Linked DNA regions of Macaca mulatta. The main gene of each other region encodes a partner of the protein of the gene in region 4 in a complex. Links are inferred from orthologs where the notes say so. Each region holds a gene or a part of one and is shown on either strand. Other genes may lie near its edges. The genes, in order: SF3A2, DDX42, PRPF38A, SF3B3, SF3B4, ZMAT2 and HTATSF1.

Region 1 (4,321 bases), on a different chromosome or scaffold from region 4:
GGATGGTCTCGATCTCCTGACCTTGTGATCCGCCCGTCTCGGCCTCCCAAAGTGCTGGGATCACAGGCTTGAGCCACCGCGCCCGGCCAAATATGGATTTTCAATCTAGATTTTTATACCCCACCAAACTTCTAACTATGAGGGTAAATAAACTCATTTTCAGGCAATCAAAGACTTCCCCCATCCCCGAAAAAAATCATCTATTTCTTCCAAAGCTCCCAGAAGTTCTGCTCTGACATCAGGAAGAGGAAAAGATGGCCACACTGGGAACAGAGGTCAGCACAGGGCAGCAAGGACAGGAAGGTTTGGGACACCAGCTCCACCCAGGCAGAGCACAATCAGTCCCATTCGGAGAAGGAGGATACGGGGGTCTTGGAGGGCAGTGGGGAGGTGGAGATCAATTCATTTAAACCTGTGCAAAACACAACTGATAGGTGTGAGATGCTGGAGCTTTGTGGGGAAATAAACAAACAGTAGGGAAAAGAAAGGCTAATGGTAAAAACAAAGTTAATTAGCTTTAAGGGAAAATAGAAAGCTACAACAAAAGCCCAGTTGAACACATTACTTGTTTTAGCAGCCAACTAAATATATATACATATACATGTGTATATGTGTGTGTGTGTATATATATATACACATATATACATTTTTTTTTTTTTTTTTTTTGAGACGGAGTCTCGCTCTGTCGCCCAGGCTGGAGTGCAGTGGCGCGATCTCGGCTCACTGCAAGCTCCGCCTCCCGGGTTCACGCCATTCTCCTGCCTCAGCCTCCCGAGTAGCTGGGACTACAGGCGCCCACAACTGCGCCCAGCTAATTTTTTGTATTTTTAGTAGAGACGGGGTTTCACCGTGGTCTCGATCTCCTGACCTTGTGATCCGCCCGCCTCGGCCTCCCAAAGTGCTGGGATTACAGGCGTGAGCCACCGCGCCCAGCCATATACATATATTTTTTTGAGATGGAATCTCGCTGTGTCTCCCAAGCTGGAGTGCAGTGGCGTGATCTCAGCTCACTGCAAGCTCCGCCTCCCGGGTTCACGCCATTCTCCTGCCTCAGCCTCCCGAGTAGCTGGGACTACAGGTGCCCGCCACCACACCTGGCTGAATTTTTGTATTTTTAGTAGAGACGGGGTTTCACCATGTTAGCCAGGGTGGTCTCAATCTCCTGACCTCGTGATCCACCTGCCTTGGCCTCCCAAAGTGCTGGGATTATAGGCGTGAGCCACTGCGCCCGGCCCTGAGCAGCCAACAACATTTTGCATCTTATTTAAAAAATACAACCAATGACCAACTGTGCTCACGACAGAAACTCATTCAGGATATGGAAGGCGAAGGTGCAGTAGGTGGATAGGAGGGAGAAAATCTCAACAGCCGTGACAGGAAATCAGCAGATGATGTCTACAAATTGATAAATCCAGGAAGAAGTATGTTATTTACTAAGGTAAAGATCAGGGAACAGAGTGGAAAAACCCTATCTCTACAAAAAAATAGAAAAAAGAGCCGGGTGTAGTGGCTAATGCCTGTAATCCTACCACTTTGGGAGGCTGTGGGGGGGTGGGGGGGGTGGATCACCTGAGGTCAAGAGTTCGAGACCAGCCTGGGCAACATGGCCAAACTCCGTCTCTACAAAAAATACAAAAATTAGCCGGGCATGGTGGTGAGCACCTGTGGTCCCAGCGACTTGGGAGGTTGAGGCAGGAGGACGGCTTGAGCATGGGAGTTCGAGGCTGCAGTAAGCTGTGATGGCACCACTGCACTCACTCCAGCCTGGGTGACAGAGCAAGACACTGTCTCAAAACATACAAACAGAGAGACAAAAAACCGACGACGACGACCAGGGGAAATGAGCTTAAGAATTGAGGAAAGGTGGCCTCCGAGACCTGGGGCTGGACCAGCGGGAAGGAATTAGTTTTTGGTGGCAACACCGTTCTCTCGTTAAACCCAGCAAACAACCTCTTTTCCAAAGCTCCCCCTGGCTGTTTGGTGTTCTCCAAGGATACACACGAACAACGGTCACAGCCATGTGCACCTGCAAAATGGGGCCAGCTAACGTTTTCTGGTCCCCTTTGGCATGGTGTTGAAGCTGTCACTCCCGTTTTAAGGGGAATGAGGCTTACAAGAGTTATATCACAGAGCCCCAGTGAACTCACAGGTATAGATTAGCATGCAGAAGCGTTCTCGGCTACAAGGAAGGAGGCCCAAACCATTTCAGCCGCGATCCCGATCTGATCCCAAAGAGTCTTAGTTGTTTCTTTTTCATTTTGTGAAACAGGGTCTTGCTCTGTTGCCCAGGCTGGAGTGCAATTGCGATCATGGCTCACTGCAGCCTCGACATTCCGGGATCAAGCGATCCTCTCGAGTAGCTGGGGCTACAGGTACAACAACCAACTCCTGGCTAATTTTAAAAATTTTTTTGTAGAGATGGGGTCTCGCTGTGTTGTCCAGCCTGGTCTCGAACTCCTGGCCTCAAGCGATCCTCCCGCCAAGCCCTCCCTGAGCGGTGAGATTACAGGCGTGAGCCCCCGCGCGCGGCCTCCCAACAGGAGTTTGGAAATAGAGTTCCGAGCGGGCCCGACCCTCCGGGCCCGCCCAGCGCGGGATCTACAGGATGCACAAGGCCGGACGCTCACGGGAGGAGGGAGGGGAGCGACGCCGCCGCCCGCCCCTCGGCCTGCGGCCTGTCGCAAGCTCCTCTCTCCTACGTCCGCTCTTCCCCAGGGAACCCCCGGTCCGAGTCGGCCGCCACCCTCAACCGGCTCCACTCCTCACCAGAGCCTGAGGCCGCGTTATCTCCTCGATCCGCCACCGCCACGACTTCGTTCGGCGCACGCGCGTCGCGGTCAAAGAAAGCACTTCCGGGGCAAATGGGGCGGGCCCTCTGGTGTGCGCATGCCCGGCCCGCCCAGCGGCGCAAGTCAGAGAGTCAGGAGGCGCGAGGGAAAGGGCTGGAGGGGGCGGGGCTGAACGCCCGGCCTGGAAGGCAAACCGCGCGTGCGCACAACGCCCCCAACGAACCCTTGGTCCGCTGCGGCCGCGCTGGGCTAACTTTCGCGAGGGGCGGCTGACATTCTTCGGGAGACGTTATCGCTCCCTCCGCCTGCGCCTGGCCGCTCTAGGAAGGGGTGCCAGCCATCGCGGGGGTGCCTTGATGCTGTTCCACCTTTGTCTGGTTTATTTCAATTTAATGGTTATGTAACGACTGTCCGTCTCCGCTACCAACTCGTGCACCGTCCCCCCCCGCCCCCCCCGCCCCAGGTCGCCAGCGCCACGCACTGGAGACTGGCGGCATGGCCGGCCCAAAGTGCGCAGGCGCACTAGCCCCGGCGGTGCTTCCGTGTCTGCGCCCTGAGACCTTTTTGGCGCCGGCCCCGGCGTGAACGGGGACGGCGGCCGGGAGGGCGCGGTCCAGGTTCCCGTTCCCCGCGAAGCCATGCGGTACAACGAGAAGGAGCTGCAGGCGCTGTCCCGGCAGCCGGCCGAGATGGCGGCCGAGCTGGGCATGAGGGGCCCCAAGAAGGGCAGCGGTGAGCGGGACCCGGGAGACCGGGACAGTGCCAGGGGCGGGAGGCTGGGGCCGCGGTCCGGGCGCGGGTGCCGGAGGCCGGATTCCGGGTCGGGGCGCCGGGTGCGGGAGGCCGGGGTCCGGGCGGGGGCTGCCTGCGCCTCTGAGCGCGCGCTGTGCCCGCAGTGCTGAAGCGGCGGCTGGTGAAGCTGGTGGTGAATTTCCTCTTCTACTTCCGGACAGACGAGGCCGAGGTAGGGGCGTCGAGGGCGCGCGGGCGGATCCCAGGCTGGGGCCCCGCGGAGGCCGGGTGCTCACCGCTCCGTCCCGGCGCCCGTGTCTCCTCCAGCCCGTCGGAGCCCTGCTTCTGGAGCGGTGCAGAGTCATCCGGGAAGAGCCCGGCGCCTTCTCCATCAGTGAGTGGGGCTAGGGAAGCCAGCGGCGCCTCCCGCAGCCCGGGGCACCAGCAACGCTGCAACTGTCCCCTCCCCAGGCGCTCAAGGCCTCCTCTGTGTCCCCAGCCTGGCGCCACCCTCCCCAGACATAAGAATGCATTGTCCACGGGCAGCTCAAGGTCAGGTTCTCCTGGCGGGCACCATCCCGCCCACCTGCCAAGTCCACTTAAGCTTGGGTTCCTTCCAGATTCTGCTCTTTCTTCCCTGTGGGCCCAGGCTGTACTCACAGAGAGGCTGGGCCAGCCCCACCCAAAGCGTTTCCCAACTGCCACAACTAGCATGGGTCTAGCATTAGGTGGGGGTAGGGGGAGTGAGAGGGGGGTGTTCTCCTGGGTCTTAAGAGATTCCCTTCTGCGGGGAAAAATGG
Region 2 (4,339 bases), on a different chromosome or scaffold from region 4:
GCCCTTTGGGAGGCTGAAGTGGGAGGATCACTTATGGCCAGGAGTTTGAGACCAGCTTGGGCAACACAGCAAAACCGTGCCTTTACAAAAAAATTATAAAAGTTAGCCAGGCATGGTGGCACACGCCTGTAGTCCTACCTGCTCAGGAGGCTGAGGCAAGAGGATTGCTTGAACCCAGGAGTTCCAGGTTACAGTGAGCTGACTGGACCACTGCACTCCAACCTGGGCAACACAGCAAGACACTGTCTCTAAAACATAAATAAAACGTGGTGGTTTCATAGGAAATCTTAACGGAATAGTAAAGTAGCACAGGCTGTGTGTAAACCATCTTTGCTACTAACTTGATATGAACCTCAGGGAAGTTATTTAGCTTCTCTGGGTTCAGTTTCCTCATCTATAAAATGGTGAGAGGCTGTGTATGGTGGCTCACGCCTGTAATCCCAGTACTTTGGGAGGCTGAGGCAGGTGGATTACTTGAGCCCAGGAGTCTGACACCAGCCTGAGCAACATAGCCAAACACCATCTTAAAAAAAAAAAAAAAAAAAAAAAAAGATGAGACTATCACCTATCTCAAGGGTTGGTGTGAAAAATTAAGTTCATACACAAAAATGTACTTGTTCAATACGTCAGCTGCCAACTTGTTTTTCATTATATTATTATTTCTGAAGACCCAATTTCTTCATCGGTAAATTGAGACTATCAGACTTCTTTCAACTCAGGTATTTCACACATAAGCGCCACAAAAACACTGAAGATGTCAGAGATCACTATGAGCTAACAGGCAGGGGTAAGCGTCATAAAAGAGCCAGAAGCCAGGCTAGGCACAGAAAGATGCAAGCTGGGTAGAGACATGCAGAGGATGACATTCTAGGGAGAAAGACTGAACTAGTGAAGGCTAGGAAGTGAGAATAAATGCGGAACACGCTTATAAAGGAAGACAATTTAGCTAGTTTGTGTTTTTGGCAATGGTGGAAAATAAGATATGATCTAAATGACTTTAAATATAGTGGACTAAAAACAACTGATTATATAAACCACATTATCACTTGCATTTCTGGAGGTGGAAGAAAGAGTTCTAGTGACAGTGATTAGCATCTACTCTACATAATACCTTGAGAGTATCTCACACACTATATAGAGGTCAGTTCTTTAATGAGAATCTATATAAAAACTCAAGAACGTAATCACATTCTTCTAAACTAAATATAAGTAAATGCTAGGTTTTGGTTATTTTAGAAGCATCCCTTCTCTTGTCAGCTTAAAGCAACTGGGAGCTGATTATATGACTATCAATGTAACAAAACAAATTTAAATTACTGCACTCCTCTCTTTTATTAAATTGCTACAATATAAATCAGATATTATCATTCCTCTGATCGAAACCCTCAGATCCTTCTTAAGTAATAGCCTAAAAGGCTCTGGTTGTTCCGCTCACTCCCTTCCCCCAATTCTTCCCAGACTATCTCCTAATACTCCCTCAGCTCACAGTGCTCCAAACGCATTGGTCTTCGCACTCTTAACGGGCCAGCTTTGTCCTTCTCAAGGCCTTTATATTTGTTACTCTCTAGCTTGGAACGTTCCTTTCCCCAGATAAACATAGGCTCACTCCTCCTTCCAGTCCGCTTAAACATAAGCTTGTCTGTAGGGACTTCCCTGACCACTTTATTGCAAATTCTAACAACACCTCCCCAACCCCCTTTCCAGCTTTCTTTTTCCTAAGGTACTGATCATCTTCTAACATTCAGTATAATTTATGTATTTCTTTGCCTCTCCTTGCGCTACTAGAAAGTTAAGTTTCACAAAGGCAGGGGTCTAACACCTATCCCTATCACCTAGAACGGCGCTAGAGAATAGGCACCAATAAAAATATCCCTTCAATGAATGAATTGTACATTAGGCATTGTGTAAATGCCTCTTCCAGGTACAGAAAGACACATTTTCTTTTCCCAGCTGTCAAAGTCTAAATGTTAATTTTTGTACAAAACACTCACTGCTCACCTCCTATACGCCAGAACTGAGCCAGGCTCTGCAAAGTGACTTAAGACATAGTCCCTGCCTTTTAGGAAGTCCTGGGTGTGTATATGAGGGAGGACAGACATAGAAACATCATTCACAAAAAGAATATACAGGAAATTGGATAACTGCCTATAGGAGTGTAGGCAACAGGGAAATTCTCAGTGATGAGAATATAATTCCCCAAAACTCTCGAGAGCTTCTCCTATGTTTTTGATGCATATGTTTGTAACTCCACATAAATTATTTATTCACATCAGATAGGCTTTCAAGTAGGCCGCAAAAAAGTTTGGGTGACAAAGTGATGCTAATAATCGACCTACTCAAGGCTGCACAAAGATCACCGCTTACATCTTTTCACTCCTCTCATTTGGCAGCTTTTGCCTATCAGGACCCCAAATTCGGAAGCCTGCATCTCCCAAGCGCTGCCTCCTTGGGCCAGAATTCTCCCCGCGCTATCCCTGCCTCGGAGCCGGGCACCCTGCAAATCCCTTTCCTAGGCGAGCGGGCGCCGCCTCCGGAAAGCCGCCAACTGGGCCTCGGTAAGACTTGCGAGGGAAGCGGGAGCTGTGGGAGGGCGACGCGGCTAGGAAGGAACCCTCGAGGCCTCTGCCCGCACTCCCACCCCTTCCCAGCACCCCGGCCGCGGGTGCCCCGAGGCTCTGCCGACTCTTTGTTAAGCAAGGCCGCGGTTCCTCCGCCCTCGCTAGGCCCAGCAGTTGCCTCCAGTGCCCCTAAGGACTAGCGGCCCTGCGTCCAAAACCCCCACGAACAAACCTGCTGCTATGGCTGCAGCCGCAGCTGCTACCACCGCCGGCACGGAGAGAATCCCGCGGCCCAAAGTACGCGCTGTCCCAGCCCGGTCCCGCCGCGCTCCTTCCTCTCCGCCCCCTTCGCCGCCGCCACCACCGCCACCGCCACCGCCACCGCCACCGCCTCACGGCCCGTTGCTGAAGGGGGGAGGGTAACAAAAACCCGACATGCGCAGTGAGGAGTGCGCGGGCCGAAGGGCGGGGCCGGGGCTACGACTCCCGGAAGGCGCCTGACCTAAAAGCTCCAGAACGCCTCCCAGGCTCCTCAGATACTCTGACAGGAAACTGCTAGTTGGGTGGACAGAGTTCATGACCCGTCTAGAAAGTGGGTCTGGGAATGAAGAAAAAGTGGCGTCAGGAGGCTGGTCAAAAAATCCCAAGAGAAAATGGGTTGGGCAGAAACCACATTTACATGAACATGCCTATCATTTAAACTCTGGTCCGTTGCAAATACTACTACAGCGACACTCTTGCCTTTGGCCACGTGGTTCCGCACAGCATCACTACCTTTAGCTTCCGGAGCACCGGTTCCGTGTGACGTCAACTTGACGGAACCCTACGGAGGAGGATTGGTATAGGCGAGAGCAGTTCCGGCCCAGGGGCGGGGATTATGTAATTTTCCCAGAAGCCCCACCTCGCCTCAGCTGGGCGGGGAAGAGGGAGGTCTTGCGCTGTCCCTAGTGTTGCGTCCCGCCCCGCACACTGCACACTGCACACTGCGCGCAGGCGCTGACGAGCCGCTCGCATTCTACGTAACGGACGGCGGAGGCTACGTGAAGAGAGGCGCGGCGTGCCTGAGCTACGGTTCTGGCTGTGTCCTAGAGGCATCCAGGGTAGTAAAACAGCTGCGATCGCGGAGGCTGCGGCCAGGCCGAGAGGCAGGCGGAGCAGGGGTGGCGGACGTAGGGCGCTGGGCCGGGTTTCGGCCTTGGCCACAGGTAAGGAGCGGGCCAGGACGCGCTTGTCGGCGGGGCCGGCCCAGGCCGAGCGGTGACTCCGAGTTGCTTGGCCTGTAGCCCGGTCCGGTTGAGATAATTGTAATGGTTTAGGGGAACTTTCCCATGGACTGTGAGCAAATGATAGCCAGAAGGGCAGAGTTAGAGGAAATGTACAGTGTGTGCCGCAGGATGCCATTAGGATGTATTGATTCTCTTGGGTGGGGAGAAACTAGGCGAGGGGGTTTAATAGAAGCAAAAACCTCTGTGGCCAGTCTCCTCTGGAGGTTTCTAGCATGAAACGTGTTTGTATCCAACACGTATAAGGAGACAGAGGAAAGTCTGCATGATTTCCAGAATACTCGTTCTGGCCGTTGTCAGAAAGACCTAATCTAAAATGACAACAAGGAATAATGGCCTCACTCAGTCCCCTTCCCTCAAGTCTGGACTCAGTCGCTGAGGAACTATTGGATGAGCTTGCAGAAAATAATCAAACCAGACTTGTCAGTGCTTGTGTGAATTTTCCTTGGTCCTGTGTTGCTTGCTTCAGGAGTCATAGAAGCTGGGTGGCCTGGCAAG
Region 3 (4,036 bases), on a different chromosome or scaffold from region 4:
GTTACAGACAACTAGCATCGTATCTAATCATTGCAGTTTCACAAATAGACCAGGGTAAGAATGCTGCTTCCAACTGTCACGGCAGAAGACCCTTCAGTTCCGGGATTAGACAAGAGAAGAAGAGAGCCAGCAGACTTCTCTTCTGAAAACAAGGTGAATGGCAGTCCAGCAGTTAGGAGCTCATCTGAAAAAAAGATCTGGGTAGGAGCCCAGACTGCTTAGTCACGAAAAGCGACCTAAGACACGTCCCTCTCTGGGCGCAATTTGCTACGTCCGTAAAATGGGGTAATAATCTCTGCTCCGCCTTCCCTGTAGTGATTCCTACACTATAGCTCAAAGAACGAAGTAAGTCGAGTGCTTCACAAGTGCAGATGGAGGGAAAGTCATCACTGAGCCTCAGGGTATGGAGGGCAGGAGTGCTCCTGCTTCTCGGCTGTTGGCTTCCGCCTTCCCCACTGCAACTCAGTTCCCTGCAGCGCTTTTAGGAATTGCAGTGTGGAACAGAGGAACGCTCTTTAACAGTTCAGAACAGTGCCTGGCACTGAACAGGCGCTGGGTACATGTCAGCTGAAAGAATCAATGAGTGAGTCTACAGAGAACGTCCTCAGTTTCAGATGTTCCGCTGCGCCTTCCCCCGAGTCCCTCGCAACCCGCGGGACGCCACACTCACCGGGCTCCAAAGCTTCCTCCGGCTAGCCGCAAGCCCTCCGTTTCCTACCGCCTCCGCTTCGAGAGCTCCGGGGGATGCAGCACCTCTAACCTGTACCAGCAGGGCTCCTCCTACAGCTACGGGCCGCACGCCAGGACGAAAGCGTGTGTCTCGCTGGAAATGGAAGGAAGGTGGAAGGAGCAAAGAAAACTTCGCGCCAATCGGCGGGGCCCCGCCCCCAGGCCATCCCTTCGCTGCGTCACCAACTAGCTCGCCCCGCCCACTACGTACACCTAAGAGGGGCGCCTGACGTAAATCCGCTAACATGCAGCCGCCATCATTGATTCGATCGGCGCCGCGGTGCGCGGAAGGTCTTTGCGCTGAGGTGTTTCCGGTTTCAAGATGGTGGCCTAAGCCTTTTAGTGAAACAACTTCTACCGCTCTCCATTCCCCTAGGTGTTTTTTTCTGAACCTGGATGTGACGCATTAAAGGATCCGACGGAAATAGAATTGAAGGCATTCTAAAATGGCTAACCGTACAGTGAAGGATGCGCACAGTATCCACGGCACCAACCCTCAATATCTGGTGGAGAAGATCATTCGAACGCGAATCTATGAGTCCAAGTACTGGAAAGAGGAGTGCTTCGGACTTACGGGTGAGCGAAAGCACGCAGAGCCCCTCTCGGCAGCCTTGTGGCCAATTTCTCCTGACCGAGCTCCGGTGGGACTAGCGACTGGCCTCTGGGGGTGGGGTTTTGAGCGGAGTATGTCGATCATTCAGAAAAATTTGAGTGCATACTAAGTGCCTCGTCTTGTGTCGACTATTGGGAACACAGATGAATCTGATAAGGTCATGTTCTGAAGGGTGTCTCAGTTGGGTTCTGTGAGTTATCCCATATTTAATGATAGCTGGCTGGGTTGCAACAGTGTTAAGCTCAGGGGTCCGAATATAACACTTTGACACAATCTATTGAAGGTCTTTAAGGACCTGACGTTAATATGCCTGAAACCAAATTCATGATCTTACTATCCTTAGATCTGGGCCAGTTCCAGTATTTATAAATGTCAGTGCTTCAGAGAAGTCTTCCAGGTAATCTTCCGATTTGAATTCTGGCTTTAAATCCATGTCCTGTGGCAATCTGTGAACCTTGAACAAGTCACTTTACCTTTCTTAGCCCTCATTTTCCTTATCTGGAAATAAGAACATTGCTAGAACTTTCTTCATGACTTGTTAAAAAAGGTCAAGTGAGATAATATGAAAAGTTTAGCAGGGTACCTATTTTATTATCCATTCTCAATGTATATTAGCTGCTGTCGTTACTGTTACTAATACACATTCGTTCTCCTAATATTACACTGTTGATGTGTATTTAGGAGAACCAAAGCTTGAACTAACTCTCCACTTTCAACTAGGAAGAGCTTAGCCCTAATATGTCACTCTATTCTTTTTGTTTTTTAGCTGAACTTGTAGTCGATAAAGCCATGGAGTTAAGGTTTGTGGGTGGCGTCTATGGTGGCAACATAAAACCAACACCCTTTCTGTGTTTAACCTTGAAGATGCTTCAGATTCAACCCGAGAAGGATATCATTGTAGAGTTTATCAAAAATGAAGATTTCAAGTGAGTGCAATGTTCACTAGCTAATATAAGAGGTTTAATTTTGGCGGTTCAGCATTGGGCTTTGGTTAAGAGTGGTGTACACAATGTATCTCATTTCTACAGAGTTCCACTCCAGATTTTTGCTTTTGAGTCCTTGAGTTTGTATTTTGTTTGTTTGTTTTTCGTTTTGGAAACAGAGTCTGTCTGTGTTGCCCAGGCTGGAGTGCAGTGGTGCAGTCTCGGCTCACTGCAACCTCCATTTCCTGGGTTCAAGTGATTCTCCTGCCCCAGTCTCCCGAGTAGCTGGGATTACAGGCATGTGCCACCACGCCTGGCTAGATTTTGTATTTTTAGTAGAGATGGGGTTTCACCATGTTGGCCAGGCTGGTCTTGAACTCCAGACCTCAGGTGATCCCCTCCCCTCTGGGCCTCCCAGAGCGCCAGGAACACAGGCATGAGCCACCACACCCGGCCAAGTTTGTATTTTATCTGTTCTGATTGTATTAATCTTCTACTTTACTTTCTCAGTTTTGGTGGTAGTTTTTCCCCAAAAAAGGATTTCACAAATTCACTAAATATATATTAAGCAAAAGTGAGTGCCTGATATGTTGGTAGGCACTGGACGCTCAGGGGTGAAAATCAAACAACAAAAGGTAGTGGTTAAGAGGTGTTAGATCTGGGTTCACATCCAGATTCTGTTGCCCATTAACTTGACATTGGAGGGGTTACTTAATTTTCTAAACTTTGCTTATCTGTAAAATGGTGACTATAATGTAAGAGTGAAAGAAGGTAATGCATGCGGATCTCTGAACACAGCATTTGCTGCACGGTAAACACCTAGAAAATGTCAGCTTCTCATTACTGTATTACCCATTCTCAAGGAAATCACAGACAAGTATAGGAGACAGACATAATAGCTTCTTATGTGCCATGCTCTAAGGGCTTTGCGTATACTAATTCATTTCACTTTCACAACAACCTTCTAAACTTTTAATCCCTATTCTACAGGAGAGGAAACTGAGGCACAGAGATTAAGTAATTTTGCCCAAGTTCAAACAGCTAGTAAGTGGCAAATCTGGCTTCAGAGTTCATGTTCTTTGGTACAGTATTCTGCTTCTCATACAAAGAAACTGTGAGTTTCAAATGCCTCGTAGTTACCCAAGAGGAAATTTAAGTAGTTGGATACAGGAAAAAGGGAAGAGGGACGACTCTTATAAAGCATTAATAGCTAGAAAATACCTAACTTTTGTTAGGCACTTACTGTGTGCTCTATGCTGTACTTAGGACTTTAAATGCATTTCTTGTTTATATACCAAGCCATAAATTAAGTAGCATTATCTCCATTTTACAAGGATTGAGAAAACACAGATTTGACCAGTAGTGTCACAGAATTAGTAAATCATGGAGTCAGAATTTGAACCCAGATGACTTATTTTTTTCCAAAACCAGCAGTCATGTTTATGTGTACTTGTTCTTGTATTGTTATTAAATATATCTTCTACTTTCTGTTTTAAAATTCAGTATCTGGCCAGGCGTGGCTCACACCTGTAATCCCAGCACTTTGGGAGGCCAAGGCAGGTGGATCACTTGAGGTCAGGAGTTTGAGACTAGCCTGGCCAACATGGCAAAACCCATCCCTACTAAAGATACCAAAATTAGGCTGGGTGCGGTGACACACACCTGTAATCCCACCTACTCGGGAGGCTGAGGGAGGAGAATGCTTGAACCCAGGAGGTGGAGGTTGTAGTGAGTTGAGATTGTGCCACTGCACTCCAGCCTGGGCAACAGA
Region 4 (3,607 bases):
GATTTTTATTCACAAAGGCATCCACTTCATTTTATGAAGCACAGTCACTACAGATACCATATATGTTCAGGTAATTGCAGTGTTCACAACAAATTTGGGATTGGGCGCTTTATTATCATTAGAGTGATTAAAAAAAAATCTTGACAATCGTTTGTGTTTCATTGGTGAGAACTAGAATTGCCATGAATTGTGGTAGGGTGTTGCCAAATGGGAAGGCCCTTCCCGGATCTCTCTGTCTGCAGTGCAGTTTTCTAGATTAGGAGGCTGTTGTTTAATGTTGCCTAATGCCAGCGTTAGAGCTTCAGGGATTGATGTGTTTACTGACTGCTCAAAGCCTATTTCACCACCAATTTCTAGGTCCTGAGTGAGTATTAAGTAACTGCCTTGCTTTTCTGTCATAGCATTTTGGCATTAGAGAAGCTCGGTGCTGTCTTCAATCAAGTAGCCTTCCCACTGCAGTACACACCCAGGAAATTTGTCATCCACCCTGAGAGTAACAACCTTATTATCATTGAAACGGACCACAATGCCTACACTGAGGCCACAAAAGCTCAGAGAAAGCAGCAGATGGCAGAGGTAATGAGACTAACGTTCAGGGGTTCTGTTAAAAGATTTGTGAAATTATGTTGAAAAGTTTAAACTGCTCAGCACTTTTGGAGGCTGAGATGGGAGGATTGCTAGTTTGAGACCGGCCTGGGCAACATAGCAAAACCGCACCTCTATTAAAAATTTTGAAAGATAGCCTGGTGTGTTGGTGCACTCCTGGTATGTTGGCACACTCCACTGCATACCAGTGGCACTCTGGACATGAGACTCTGTCAAAAGTTTAAACTCCTGTAATTGTTGTTATATTCTTTGTTTTTTAAAGATCTAGGCTCTTTTCAGCTTCTTTAAGCAGAGGCCTTTGCCCCAAAATACTTCATGTTAGAGCCTTTCTTGTAACCCAGGACTATACTCTGACCTCCATTTATTCACAATTAAGTTCCCTCTCTGAAACAGAATTCTCCAGTCTTTGAGCTTCCAAAATAGACTGTATTTCCTGGATTTGGGCCCAAAGGAGACAGCTTTCATGTTCTCCACAATACCAGCTCTTTCTAGAACTCATTGCCTAGCAAAAACCAAATAGCTAAACCACATAGAACTGTATCCAGCCTTAAAGAGTGGAGACAGAGTAGTCTTAGTAGGGGAAATCAGATGGGTTGGATTAAAAAATGGAGTTTCTGGCCGGGCGCGGTGGCTCAAGCCTGTAATCCCAGCACTTTGGGAGGCCGAGATGGGCGGATCACGAGGTCAAGAGATCGAGACCATCCTGGCTAACACGGGTGAAAACCCATCTCTACTAAAAAATACAAAAAAAAACCTATCTGGGTGAGGTGGCGGGCACCTGTAGTCCCAGCTACACGGGAGGCTGAGGCAGGAGAATGGCGTGAACCCGGGAGGCGGAGCTTGCAGTGAGCTGAGATCCGGCCACTGCACTCCAGCCTGGGCAACAGAGCGAGACTCCTTCTCAAAAAAAAAAAAAAAGAAAAAACCCCTTGGAGTGTTCTTGCTACCTATCCTCTTCTCAGCCAGCCCCTACCTCTGAACATGCCAACTCAGTTGTTTGGTTTTTTGGGTTTAGGAAATGGTGGAAGCAGCAGGGGAGGATGAGCGGGAGCTGGCCGCAGAGATGGCAGCAGCATTCCTCAATGAAAACCTCCCTGAATCTATCTTTGGAGCTCCCAAGGCTGGCAATGGGCAGTGGGCCTCTGTGATCCGAGTGATGAATCCCATTCAGGGGAACACACTGGACCTTGTCCAGCTGGAACAGAATGAGGCAGCTTTTAGGTAAGGAGCCCAGGACAGTTCAGGGTTTGGTAGCCTGGAACAGGAGCTCTCTGGGTTTTGACGAAGGCCTTACTCTTGCCTCTTACTCTGTGTGTAGTGTGGCTGTGTGCAGGTTCTCCAACACTGGTGAAGACTGGTATGTGCTGGTGGGTGTGGCCAAGGACCTGATACTGAACCCCCGATCTGTGGCAGGGGGCTTCGTCTATACTTACAAGCTTGTGAACAATGGGGAAAAACTGGAGTTTTTGCACAAGGTAGGAATCAGCCAGTGAGTGGTTCTCCTAGATCTTAAGTCCTATTGAATTCTCTTACTTTTGCTTATGTTATGGGTCAGGTCTTTTGGGGACCAGCTCCTTGATTCCAATCCGTCTCTTACCAGCACATGGAAAATCCTGGGGCCTTCTAGCTGCGGTGATGCTCTTGTGCCTGTGCATTCCACAGTAAGGCTTTGTGCTAACCACCCATAATGGGGAGATGGATGCACATTGAATCAGTCCCTTTCTTACTGTTTTAATAAGTGGGCAACAATTTGTGACCAAAATTCAGCAGTTTAAATAATTAATATTCTGGCTGTGTGCGGTGGCTCACACCTGTAATCCCAGCACTTTGGGACCAGCCCGACCAACATGATGAAAGCCCGTCTCTACTAAAAATATAAAAATCAGCCAGGCATGGTGGCATGTACCTGTTATCCCATCTACTTGGGAGGCTGAGGCAGGAGAATCACTTGAACCCGGGAGGCGGAGGTTGCAGTGAGCTGAGATTGTACCATTGCACTCTAGCCTGGTTGGCACAGTGAGACTGTCAAAAAGAAAAAAAAAAAGATTTAGTGTTCTTTTCCATCTGCCTTCTCTGGGAAGTTACTGTTTAATGGGTACAGAGTTTCAGTTTGGGAAGATGAAAAAAAAGCTGGAGATGATAGTTACACAACAGTAAATGTGCTTAATGCCACTGAAGTGTATACTTAAAAATGACTGGGCATGGTGACTCATTCCTGTAATCCCAGCACTTTGGAAGGCCGAGGTGGGCGGATCACCTGAGGTCAGGGGTTCAAGACCAGTCTGGTCAATGTGGTGAAATCCCATCTCTATTAAAAATAAAAAATCAGCCAGGCATGGTGGTGGGCGCCTGTAACCCCAGCTACTCCAGAGGTTAAGGCAGGAGAATTGCTTGAACCTGGGAGGCAGAGGTTGTACTGTGCTGAGATTGTGCCACTGCACTCCAGCCTGGGCGACAGAGTGAGACTCTGTCTCAAAAAAAAAAGGATTAAGATGGTAAACTTTATGTTATGTCTGTTTTACCATAATTATTAAAATAAAAATAATATTCTCCTCCACACTGACAGCATGTGGATTCCTTCAACCCTACCATAAGGGGAGTATCCTCTAAGAAATACTTCATAGACCCTTTTGCGTATAAAATTTGCCTCTCCTTTACAACTGAGATGTCACTAGGCTGGGTGCAGTGGCTCACGCTTGTAATCCCAGCATTTTGGGAGTCTGAGTCGAGCAGATCACTTGAGCCCAAGAGTGAGACCAGCCTGGACAATGTGGTGAAACTCAGTTTCTACAGAAAATACAGATAATTAGTTGGGCGTGATGGCACATGCCTGTAGTCCCAGCTACTCGGGAGGCTGAGGTGGGAGGATCACCTGAGCCCAGGAAGTCCAGGCTATAGTGAGCCGTGATTACGCCTGCCACAGCCCTCCAGCTTGAGCGACAGTGAGATCCCGTCTCCAAAAAAAAAAAAAAATGTCATTTTCCACTAGCATTTCTTTCCT
Region 5 (4,323 bases), on a different chromosome or scaffold from region 4:
TAGGTAAAAGGGAGCAACAGAGTCATTTTGAGCAAGTGTGTGCACATCTGTGTTTTAAAAAACCTACTCTGTGAAAGTAGATCGAAGTTAGGGAAAACTGGAGTCCAAGTGGAAGGAGATTACTACAATAAATTAAGTGTTAAATAATGAGGGAATGAGAGACTGAACTAGGGCACTGGCCATGGGGAGAGATGCCACTGATATTAAATAAGACTTGGTATTAAGAGTGGGGTGATAGGGAGCAGTCAAACATCACTCTCAGATTCATGAATTAAGCACCTGAAAAAAAAGACTGCTAGAGAAAGAATGGGTTTGAAGGAGAGGGACAGAAAAATGACGCTATCTATTAAGCAGCAGCATTAAAGCATTAAGGATCCGGAATGTCAACAGCTATGGACTAGAGATACAGATCTAGGAGGCATCAGTATATGCTCAATTAAAACTATAGATATATGCAGAAAAGAGAAACAAGCACAAAAATCTAGGCACAAGTAGACAAGAGTCTATCATGGTAGCTGAGATTAAGGAGTCAGAGGGGTGGAGGATCTAGAAAAGCAAAAGCAAAAAGAGACGAGAATTTCAAACAGGAGGACACGACTAGTTTCAAGTACATCAGAGGTCAAACTAGATAAGGAGGAGAAGTGTCCCTGAGATTTGGCAATTAGGTCACCACTTTGAGCTGGAGTCAGAGAAGAGAATGGAACTAAAGGTTAAAGAAATAAAAACCAGCAAGTATAGTCTTCTTGTCAGAAAAACTTAAGAAATGGATACAGGGAGGTGGATGTTAGAGAGTATTTTGTATGTTTTTATAATAGAATGTCTGAAGGAAAGGAAACTCTGAAACTGTTACTGTTGAGGAACAAAGGGCAGCAGGGTGAGAGGTAACAGAGATGCTCTACCAAGCTCTTCCCTCCCAACAAAGCACACCTACCTGGATGGGGCATCCCACCTGGTGGGAATGGGTGAGGATGTGAGTGTCCATGACCAGGATGTCCTGCCCCTGGGGTTCCTGCCGATGGGGGGCCATGTCCTGCAGCTCCAGGAGGCATAGGTGGTGGGGGCATGGCTGGGGGTATCCCAGGTGGGAGGGCTCCAGGAGGTGGCACTGGGGGTGGGAAGGAGCCAGGAGGAGGCATGCCTATAGAGGAAATGGAAAAAGGAAAAGTTAATGGTAGTGAGGAGAAAATGTCTTTAAAGAGCCTGTCCTGATCTGGCCTCTCTGGGCAGGGTGAGCTCTTTCCCCCTCCTCCCAGTGCTCTAAAATCAAAAGCAATGTTAGAAAAGTCAACCAACTTCACCCTCCTAAAGAAACCCAACAACTTTCTTCTCCACCACTACCATCACCCCTCAGTCCTCTTCCCATCACTCACTGACTCCATGTCCCATCCCCCTTTCAGGCTCTTTTTTTCTTCCTCCTGACTCTCTCCCCCAACCTTAAGACAAACAAATTTTAACCAAAAGCTTTACCTGGTGGAGGAAGCCCAGACCCCAATGATGATACCACAGGATTGGGGGCAGAGGGTGGAGGAGGTGCATCTGCAAACAGCTGATGAGGGCGGTCAGCCTGGGAGAGCGGGTTCTGAGCTGCCAGAAGTCGTTCGGCTGCTGAGCCATGGCGCTCACCCTTGGAGTCCTTCTTGAAGGCATAAGATACGGTGATAGGGCGGTTACAGAGGTACTGCCCATTCATGGCTTCAATTGCTGCATCCGAAGCATCAAATGAAGCAAAATTAATAAAGGCATAACCTTTGGAGTTGCCTGTGTCAGGGTCCCGCATAATCTTGGGGGTTTGTAAGATGACCCCAAAAGCGCTGAAAGTATCATAAAGCAACTTCTCATCAATCTCAGGGTCCAGGTTCCCAATGAAAATGTTGGCCCCTACATCCAGGTTTTTGTTGTGGGCTGATGCTTTGTTCACCCGTATTGGCTTCCCATAGAGTTTGATCATGTTCATGATCTTAATGGCATAGTCAGCATCTTCCTCACTCAAGAATTCCACAAAGCCATAGCCTGGAGAAGTGGAGAAGAGGAGGTTAACAACATAAGAGATTGAAAATGGGGTAAAACTCATCTACCCTCTAATCACAAAGAACAAGAAAGAAACAATCTCACTTAAGAATGGTTCCAGAAATAAACTGAACAGAGGCTTAAAAGAAAGAAATACTTTAGGTTGCTCATGTTATTCCAAAACAGTTGTGAATACTGCCGGGACCCTCCGGAAGCAAATTGCCCCTTGTCATGTACTCACCTTGGTGCTGGCCAGTGACTCTATCCTTTGGCATGTGGGTGTTGACTACTGGTCCAGCCTGGAGAAACAGTTCCCACAGCAGTGGTTCACTAACCTTCTCATCCAGGCCCCCCACGTACACAGTGGCATCTGAAGGGAGGGAGCAGAAAGTTAGAGCAAGGGTGAGAGTATAACATGAAAGAAGGAGGTGATGGAAACATGAAGATGGAACCCAACCGGGGGAACTGGGGACGCGGGTAGGGGACAGGAGCAAAAAAAAAAAGTTAAACCCTTAAACTTCTCTCTCCAGGACTTCAGGAATCCTCTGAAGTCTAATTTAGTATTCTGAGTGGATTTTTTTGTTTTTTTGAGTGAGAACTCAGCAGGGGATTGGACGTAAGTATCACACCCACAGGCCTCAGCCAGCACCTGGCCACCCCGCCCCCAGGAGGCACGGGGCCGGTCTCGCGCCCTCTGGGGAATGGATGAGTCCAGTCTCCCACCCCTGCAGAGGCACTTCTGGCTGTAGTAGGGGCCTCCTAGCCACGCTGAGCCCATTCCAGACTTTCCCCCTCCAGTTACCCTGGTTCCGCTCGGAGATCGGCCCGGCAGCCATGGCGAAAGAGCTCCCGCCGTCTCCCAGCAGCGGTTCCGCCTTCTGACCTCAGCACGACTTCCACTTCCGGGGCGAAGGAGGACGTAGCGCTGGGCGGAGCCGCGGAAGAGGAGGGGCCTGGAAGCGGCTGCAGCCATTTTAGGAGCCTCCAAGACTTAACTCGGGTTGGGCGGTGGAGTCCTCGGCACCCGCGCAGAGGTGCTGCTGCTAGTGGTCTTAGCGAGGAGGGCGGAACGGAAACGCTCAGACCGTCTTAATGCACTGCTAGACTTGAAAGAATCACACTGCTCCCAAAAATGTAAATTCGAAAGCTAAAAGAACAAAAACTTCAGTTTTCATGTATTTTGTAGCCAGTGATGATGTTTTGTTGTCCAGAGAAGGATGTGCTGAAGAGTCCCCCCAACCCGAGGACTTGGCTGCTTTCAGGCGCAGAGGGAACCCTCCATCTCGCCTGCAACCTTCTTGCAGATTTGGCCTCAACAGCCCTGATTTGGGCTGGAGGTATTTGGTTTTCCCTCGGGGAGGAGACTGCGAAATGTCTGAGCTGGAGTGACGTCTGCGCTCATCTCGTCGTAATTGCATGGGGAGGGTGAGGGCTGCTCCAAGGTGGTGTGTGACCACAGGTGAGGGGTGGATAGGATCGGAGCTCAGAGACTTCAGTCTGGATCTCTAGAACAATCTGGCCCCATCTGCCTCTAAATGGGAGACACACACAGAATCCTTTCCCCAAACTGCACTTGAATTCTGCAGAGTCTCACCAAATCCAGTTCCCCTATTTCCTTAGCAATAATACAGTAGATGCCTTCCTCTCTTGGATCATACCCACCTTTTACCCACCACTTTCCTACCTAGGAGAATCCTTTATTCAAACACAAGAAACAATGCCAGTAATGTGTATAAATACTATGCTTTAATGAGCCCCTTAAATAGAAAATTCCGCTACAAAAATACAGAGGAGACAGGGTGTTTCCTGTATCCGCCTCATTCCCATAGAAAACTATAAGGGAAGAAATAGAAGTTGGAATTAAAGCAGCAGCAAGGCGAGGTGAGAATGCGATCTGTAGGCCATCTTGTTGGGACTGATGAACAGCATCTCTGATCTCACGATTTAACATCTGGTTATCCAGAAGGGATGGAACTGGTCTAAAAAAACCGATCAATTTCTGGATTGTTTTTGTTTCTTAATCCTTCAAATGACAAGAAACAAAAATATCCGTAGGAACTAAGCAAGACAGGACAAGAGTTGGAGCAGTTAACACCACCATCTGCAGCAGAAACTCAGACCTTCTTAGTGAACTTAAGGGCTGGAGTGTGAAAGCTGAGGCTGCAAGTCCAGAAACAAAAAAAAAAAAAAAAAAAGGATTAGACAGAACCGTCCTCTACCCCAGATCCCCCTCTGCCCTGCCTTTGAGAATGCCCACAATTTCAGTGGGATTGAGAATGGTATGTGGATCTCTTTTCTTGGAGTGAACTTCAGGAG
Region 6 (2,373 bases), on a different chromosome or scaffold from region 4:
AATGGCTCACGCCTATAATCCCAGCACTTTGGGAGGCTGAGGCAGGTGGATCACCTGAGCAAGGAGTTCTAGACCAGCCTAGCCAACATGGTGAAACCCCATCTCAACTAAAAATACAAAATTAGCCGCTTGAAGCCAAGAGGCGGAGGTTGCAGTGAGCCAAGACCGCGCCACTGCACTCCAGACTGGGCGATAGAGCAAGACTCTCTCAAAAAAAAAAAAAAAAAAAGAAAAAGAAAAAGAAAAACACTAAGTTCAATCCTGAGCTCTACTGTTCCAAAAACAAAAGATCAAAGGAGTCTGAAATGATAGGAATAGTTTTGGTTCAGGCTCCTCTGGACACAGATCCCTTACCAGAGGAAAACATAACTCATGCTAAAAAAAAAAAAAAAAAAATCCTAGGCAAAAATAAGATTTAAAATGGAAGAATAAAACACTCTATGGAAATCCTCAGCATGAGAAGGAAAAACAAATATTCACAGGCAAAATTATGGAATGTTCCCACCAAATGTAAAACAGGCCCAGTCAATGCCATTTATTATACATGTTGAACAGCTTCTAAGACCCAAGGGCTCCCATAATAAGGTTTTGGGGATTTTTTGTTTTGTTTTGTTTTTCATTTTCTTCTTTGCATCAAACAGGTTCTTCCAAAAGCCTGCTCACAAGGAAGACAAAAACAGAAATCCTCAGGAAAATGAAACAAGAGAACCTGAAACAATCTACACCTGAATGTTAAAAAACTCATCAGACACAAACCACACCAAACACTCATCCCATTTAATTTCCTGTTACATGCTCTGAGGAAGCCAAGAACATCAGGCCCCAGGGCAGCAATGCTCTAGGATTCCAGCTCAGGCCCCCTCTATGTGACAGATTCATGCACACACATCCACACACCATAGAACCAGGCAGAAATACACATGCATGCACAGGTAGCTAGAGAACCATAGGGCGGGATGGGAAAAAGGGCTGGTCAAGGATATGCAATCAACTGGAAACTGGGACCTAGAGAATGCTTCTGTTGCAGGCTGAACATGAGATAAAATTAAAACAAAGGCATAACACAGGATAAAGTTGGGATGCTCAGACAAGAGGCTGGATAGATGGAGAGATAAAGATGCAGGGGGAGTTTTGGGAAAGCAGCCTCAGAAGGGGAGGTTTTTCTTTATTGGAAACTCAGGTGGGCAGGGGTCCTATGACTCCAGCGATATACTGAGGCTGAAGCAATATGCCACAGCATTACCTCTGCAATCTGTGCCCTCTCCCAAAGTAGAGGGAAACCATGAGCCCCACCCTCTATCCCTCCCCATTGACACTCTTAAGAACTTTCCCATCACCCAAAAAGAAATGACCCCCGACTACACACACACACACACAAAGTTAGGTCCAGCATAGGCCCAAGTTAGGCCAAGCATAGAAAGCCTCAGTAACTCTTCTTGGTGGAACCAAAGCCAGAGAAGCCCATCACAGCTGCCATCTCATCGTCCTCCTCAAATGTCAAGTCCTCCTCAGCCCTCCTTTTCTTCTCCTTCTGTTTCTCTTTCTTGTATGCTTTGGCCTTTTCTTCCTGGAGGGAAAAATCACTCAGAATCAGTTTAGACTCCTCAGCCAAATGTTACTGAAAAAGACATGAGTTTCAAGACTCCTTTCTATCTTTAGGAGAAAGTACTTAAGACAAGTAAAATCTCAAGGACAGAGTAAAAGCCAGAGTAAAAATTATAAAGGATAACAAAAAGAAGTTTTAGCCTCTAGAGAGAAGTTCTCAAGCCTGCACTCTAGTTCATTTTTTTTTTTTTTTTTTGAGAGAGTCTTGTTCTGTCGCCTAGGCTGGAGTGCAGTGGCACAATCTCGGCTCATCGCAACCTCCACCTCCTGGGTTCAAGCAATCCTCCCACCTCAGCCTCCCAAGTAGCTGGGACTATAGGCGTGTGCCACTGCACCCAGCTAATTTTTGTATTTGTAGAGACAGGGTCCCACCATGTTGCTGGGGCTGGTCTTGAACTCCTGGTCTCAAGTGATCCATCCACCTTGGCCTCCCAAAGTGTTGGGATTACACGCGTGAGCCACTGCGTCTGGCCCCATGTCATTTCTAGTTCCTGACAGGGTTATGACAGCAAAACCATATAATAGCAACTGACATTCTGGGGCATGCAGTACATGCCAGAAATTGCTCTGAGTACTTCATGCATATTATACTAAGATCTCTAATATGGGGATACTGAGGCACAAAGAGGTTATATAACTTGCCCAAGATTCACAGCCAGTAAGTGGAAGAAACAGAATTCTGACCCAGTCAGCCTGATTTCATGGGCCTCCTTAGGACTAGGTACATTTAGTTAATTCCTCTTGTAGTTAAAAAAAAAAAGTATGGAG
Region 7 (4,214 bases), on a different chromosome or scaffold from region 4:
CTTCCAGGACCTTTCTCTTACTCTTAAAAGACCAAGATAAACTAACTCAAATCACTACCCAGCTTTCAAAGGATTTAAATCTTTGGACAAATAATTAGTTTTAGAGCCCTATCTGGGAAAAATGATGGCCAGTTTATCTTGATTCTTTATAACTCTGACACTACCTTTAAGAAAAAACTCACCTTATTCCTTCAAAGCTATTATAATTCTCGGAAAAGCAACTGTACATATGCACACCCATATTTTTAATTTTTACACTTAAAATTTGTAAGCCAGAACCACTTACCTGACTCAGCCTTTCTTTTTTCTCCCTTCTTTCTGGGATCAGTGGGTTCTGAGGCTTTTTCTTGTGGAGGTTCCTCTGCAGTTCTAGCATGGACATCTTCAACATTTGCGGTAGAACTAGATGCGCCATCATTAGAGAAGCCATAATTGGCCTGATATGTAGCAATGAAATCTTCAGTGATCTAAACAAGCAATTCAGCAGACCCAGACAGAGAAATTCAAAATTATTTCCACCCATAAGAAGTTTAAATTGTTTTTACAGCATGGTTACACAACTTAAAACAGAAGTGTTTCTGTGGATAATAGTTGTAGTTATTAGAGTATAAATGCAATAGTCATCTTATACAGAAAATTGTGCATGCGGTGATAAAAAATAAGACACGAGTACTTAGACGATCAATGCAAATGTCTGAGATATGATTTAAAGCATTTTAAGTGATGCTGGCACCTTTTCTAGTTGTTTCATTTATAAATTACTACCTCTCTACAGTCTACTTAACTAAGGCTACAAATACATACAACAAAGGAAGTACCAGATAATAAAACAATAAAAACCAACAGTCAATGAATAATCTAACCACAGAATCCACTTTTCTCTTACTGTACACATGCACAAATATACGTGTACAATAAGTACTTAAATATCTGTATGCAGAGAGCACGTAGAACAGAACTCTGACTTGGTATATAAAGAATGGAGTTAACAACTGTAAAACTAAATGCTCATTTTAACTTTATCACAAATTAAGACGTTATCTTTTAGTAACAGAACAAATTAAAGACAAATCCAACTCATATCTATCTTCCTCCCCTTTGGGGGAAAAGCGTTATTGCAAAACTAAAGAAATATAGTTATACCATCATACCAATCAACATTAGGCACGCATGGAATGGGGAAAATGTAAAACCCAAAGTTTGAAGAGGTATGGGCTTCAATAACATAAAAAGATAAAGTCACACATTAATCCATTATCACACCTTTGTTAAAAGTATTCAGAATGCTGAAGAAACCAAATCTGCACTCAAAACTAGTACTACCAATACAGAAGTGAAATCGTAAATTTTAACAATCTGGAGGCATTGGAATATGTATACAAATACAGAATGGGAAAGAAAAGTTGCAAAAGAATTTTTAAAACAGCCGTCCAGTCGCGCAATGGAGACAGGTTTTGTATTATTGGCTTGCAAGTCAATTTGCGTGCTACTAGTGTGCCCTTTCCTGCTCATGAGAGCCAGATTAAAAGGGCACTTTTACCACAAAGTTTACAGAACCAAGTTTAACATTACTTATTTTACTTCGAAGCTGAAATAAAAATACTTAGCAATTTCCAAGTACTCCAAACAAATATACACAGATATTTTCCATCTGTATTCTGTGCGTCTCCAGTCTTATTCCTGTGGTTATATGGTTCAAACATATATGCTTAGGGACAAAATTTGCTAGGAAAGTAAAGCAAGGTGCAAAGAAAGTTCAATTAGTAAAGATATGTAAACAGCTACTTTAAAAAAACCAAGAAACTGCATTTTGCACATAGTACATAAGCTAAACATCTGAGTTCCTAGGACAAGTGGGGTCGGCTACCAGAAATGGACAGCTACTAAATTTGCTCTTGGTGTTTTTCCTCTTCGCAATAAAAAGCAGTCATCAATGTAATTACCAACTGTGACCTTCACAGACAAGATTAATAAAGCATAGAAAAAACTTAAAAATTACATTTAAGACACCACCCTAAAGATTTACGTTCCTTCACACATCGGTGCCCCGACAAACACAACAAAAAGAAGCGCCGCTATCCAAGGGGGCTAGGACCAAGGACCAAGGATCTCAGCAAAGCAAACGTAAGAGGAGTGCTCCGCGAGGCTGGCCAGGCGACCCGCTCTGCAGTGGCGCCCGTGGCACTCTCCTACCTTGGGGAACCAAGCCTTCTTGTCCAGGTCCCACTCGTAGGGGGTGTCCGTCGGCTGCTGCCCGAGAGAATCGGTTTCTCCGCCGGCATCGGTCTGGGTGTCACCATCCTTGCCGTCTCCGTACAATTCTTGCATTCGCAACTGCTCATCAAACTCATCGTTCCCATCCAAGTTGCTGCCGCTCATGTTTCCTACTCAGCTCAGGAGAAGGGTTCAGAAGAACTAAGAGGCCGAAATGACGCTGGAGCTGAGCAGAAAAAGGGAGGTCAATCGCGCTCTGCTCGCGCCCCGCCGCCCCCCGGCCCGCCTCCCCGCGGCGCCCCAGCAGTCCCCGGGAAATCGGGGCCGCTCGGCTGCCGCACCGCCCCCTGCTCTGCCCGCCCACCGCGCGCGCGCGCTGATGCTGGGAGCTCGGCCGCGCCGCCGCCCACCTGGCTTGCTCCGCTGGGCCTCGGCACCGCCGCTAGGTCCAGGGCGCTGCGGGAGCGCGCAGGCGCGCCGCCGCCGCCGCCGCCGCCGCCGACCGGGTCTAAGGCGACTGCGGCTCCCTCGGCAACGTCAGGATATTACTTGTAAACTAAGCCCTGCTCAGGCCGACGCAGCCGCCATTGTCGGCGCGTCGCGACGTCGCGGGTCGCGCCGACACGCCCACTGTGGCGTCAAAAGGCGCCGACGCCGGCACGCGGCGCGAGACCCGGGGAGGCGGGGCGCCGGAGAGGGGGGAGCGCTACTGCCGGGCGTCGACGCCCACCGGGTTCGGCCTTGGGGCGGGGCGAGGGCCACTGGGATCCCCTGACGCCTCAAGGGCCTTGAGGTCCGCGGGGTTCCCGGCGAATCGGCCGGCCCGGGAGGGAGACGGAAGGAAGGCGTGGGAATATTCCCTCGCGGAGGTGGCCGGGCGGGTGTCGCGAGGACGCCATCTTGGGGGAGTGGGTGGGGCGGGCAGGACAAATATCTCTGGCTTCGAGAAAACGACGCGCCTCCTTCGCCCAAAGGCCCCTCCCCCGCGCAGGAACCGTGTCTTTTACTTGTTTCTTTCCGACTCCCTGGGATGGACACCGGATATTGTTCTTCTTGGTGACCTAAGCTCCTGGCACCGGCTCTGGTGTCTAATGCGGAATGAGCGAATGAATGAACGAATGAGGGGTAAAAGGGCCAACTTTTTTTTTTTCTGGTGTCAGCCTTCTCCTTTATCGGTCTCATACCTTCCTCTGGCTGGAGTTTGACTCCATGGGAAGGATGGGAGGGGCTGCAGTTGCCTGCCTCTTGTACTGCAGGATTCAGTGGCGCTCGAGCTGCGAACTTGAAACTTAGACATAAATGTAAACATCCCAGTGTAAACACCAGCTTTACTGGCCGGCAAACTCCGCTTCTTTGTCATTGTTTTAGAAAGACACAGCATACTTTTGTTCTAAACAGAACTTTGTTTTCAGGAATTACACTCATTGCTGAAAATGTAAAGGTCCATATTTTTAAGTTGGGCAGGTATTTATCCAGCCCCTACTAAGTGCAGGGTTCTGCACGAGGCTCTGGCGACCCAGGAGTCGACAAGACAGGCACAGCTCAGGGGAGACAGAATTAGGATGGTTGGCAAATGACAGATACGAGATGCTGGAGGACAGCAGTTCTCAAACTTTTTGGTCCCAGGTCCTCTTTACACGAAAACATTGAAGACCCCAAAAAACGTTTGTGGATTATACTTACCAATATTTCTGCACAAAAATTAAAGCGGCCGTTAAAAAATATTAATTCATTTAAAATAATAAGGAACTCATTAGTGTAACCATAAATATCACAACCCAGGCTTGAGGGTGGGGAAAACCTTCCCAGAAGAAATTATTTCACTATTCCAGTGACCTTCACTTCTAAACATAGCAGTTGAGTACTACTTCTAGAAAATCCTGGCTCCCCACGTACCAGCTGTGTGAATCTATGGTTTCAACGATAACAATAGTTTTTAATAGTTTGGGTTAGTTTTTCTAAATTATATTTCTTTTTCATGAAGTTCGCGTCCTGGTAGG

Evidence for each region.
Region 1: SF3B3 (region 4) and SF3A2 share a complex: the UniProt entries of both Homo sapiens proteins name them as parts of the 17S U2 SnRNP complex. The link is inferred for Macaca mulatta from reciprocal best matches to the Homo sapiens genes SF3B3 and SF3A2.
Region 2: the proteins of SF3B3 (region 4) and DDX42 are in contact, whole or in part, in a cryo-EM structure (PDB 7EVN), measured with the Homo sapiens proteins. The link is inferred for Macaca mulatta from reciprocal best matches to the Homo sapiens genes SF3B3 and DDX42. Residues at the interface, in NP_036558.3 of Homo sapiens: Glu159, Ala160, His161, Tyr211, His219, Val220, Val221, Arg222, Lys223; in NP_031398.2 of Homo sapiens: Lys145, Gly146, Ile147, Arg148, Asp149, Asp150.
Region 3: SF3B3 (region 4) and PRPF38A share a complex: the UniProt entries of both Homo sapiens proteins name them as parts of the spliceosome B complex. The link is inferred for Macaca mulatta from reciprocal best matches to the Homo sapiens genes SF3B3 and PRPF38A.
Region 5: SF3B3 (region 4) and SF3B4 share a complex: the UniProt entries of both Homo sapiens proteins name them as parts of the SF3B subcomplex of the 17S U2 SnRNP complex. The link is inferred for Macaca mulatta from reciprocal best matches to the Homo sapiens genes SF3B3 and SF3B4.
Region 6: SF3B3 (region 4) and ZMAT2 share a complex: the UniProt entries of both Homo sapiens proteins name them as parts of the spliceosome B complex. The link is inferred for Macaca mulatta from reciprocal best matches to the Homo sapiens genes SF3B3 and ZMAT2.
Region 7: SF3B3 (region 4) and HTATSF1 share a complex: the UniProt entries of both Homo sapiens proteins name them as parts of the 17S U2 SnRNP complex. The link is inferred for Macaca mulatta from reciprocal best matches to the Homo sapiens genes SF3B3 and HTATSF1.

The regions. Positions count from the first base shown.
Region 1 is NC_133424.1:2,982,531-2,986,851, reverse strand, and holds the start of SF3A2 (splicing factor 3A subunit 2), read right to left. Parts: upstream 2,816-4,321; 5' UTR 2,148-2,815; exon of another isoform or gene 900-2,147; intron 52-899; exon of another isoform or gene 1-51. Other genes in the region: PLEKHJ1 (pleckstrin homology domain-containing family J member 1), read left to right, coding at 3,428-3,521, 3,686-3,753, 3,849-3,915. UniProt on the Homo sapiens protein: Component of the 17S U2 SnRNP complex of the spliceosome, a large ribonucleoprotein complex that removes introns from transcribed pre-mRNAs.
Region 2 is NC_133421.1:73,566,659-73,570,997, reverse strand, and holds the start of DDX42 (ATP-dependent RNA helicase DDX42), read right to left. Parts: upstream 2,873-4,339; 5' UTR 2,791-2,872; intron 2,070-2,790; exon of another isoform or gene 1,999-2,069; intron 249-1,998; exon of another isoform or gene 139-248; intron 1-138. UniProt on the Homo sapiens protein: ATP-dependent RNA helicase that binds to partially double-stranded RNAs (dsRNAs) in order to unwind RNA secondary structures. Unwinding is promoted in the presence of single-strand binding proteins.
Region 3 is NC_133406.1:188,247,210-188,251,245, reverse strand, and holds the start of PRPF38A (pre-mRNA-splicing factor 38A), read left to right. Parts: upstream 1-1,163; 5' UTR 1,164-1,175; coding exon 1,176-1,305; intron 1,306-1,685; exon of another isoform or gene 1,686-1,711; coding exon of another isoform or gene 1,712-1,739; intron 1,740-2,108; coding exon 2,109-2,268; intron 2,269-4,036. UniProt on the Homo sapiens protein: Involved in pre-mRNA splicing as a component of the spliceosome.
Region 4 is NC_133425.1:69,283,221-69,286,827, reverse strand, and holds part of SF3B3 (splicing factor 3B subunit 3), read left to right. Parts: intron 1-401; coding exon 402-576; intron 577-1,621; coding exon 1,622-1,827; intron 1,828-1,924; coding exon 1,925-2,081; intron 2,082-3,607. UniProt on the Homo sapiens protein: Component of the 17S U2 SnRNP complex of the spliceosome, a large ribonucleoprotein complex that removes introns from transcribed pre-mRNAs.
Region 5 is NC_133406.1:117,227,140-117,231,462, reverse strand, and holds the start of SF3B4 (splicing factor 3B subunit 4), read right to left. Parts: upstream 2,896-4,323; 5' UTR 2,844-2,895; coding exon 2,810-2,843; intron 2,378-2,809; coding exon 2,249-2,377; intron 2,011-2,248; coding exon 1,468-2,010; intron 1,139-1,467; coding exon 932-1,138; intron 1-931. Other genes in the region: MTMR11 (myotubularin-related protein 11), read right to left, coding at 4,223-4,323. UniProt on the Homo sapiens protein: Component of the 17S U2 SnRNP complex of the spliceosome, a large ribonucleoprotein complex that removes introns from transcribed pre-mRNAs.
Region 6 is NC_133411.1:149,549,279-149,551,651, reverse strand, and holds the end of ZMAT2 (zinc finger matrin-type protein 2), read right to left. Parts: intron 1,568-2,373; coding exon 1,424-1,567; 3' UTR 521-1,423; downstream 1-520. UniProt on the Homo sapiens protein: Involved in pre-mRNA splicing as a component of the spliceosome.
Region 7 is NC_133426.1:142,822,042-142,826,255, reverse strand, and holds the start of HTATSF1 (17S U2 SnRNP complex component HTATSF1), read right to left. Parts: upstream 2,825-4,214; 5' UTR 2,625-2,824; intron 2,441-2,624; 5' UTR 2,380-2,440; coding exon 2,194-2,379; intron 468-2,193; coding exon 287-467; intron 1-286. UniProt on the Homo sapiens protein: Component of the 17S U2 SnRNP complex of the spliceosome, a large ribonucleoprotein complex that removes introns from transcribed pre-mRNAs.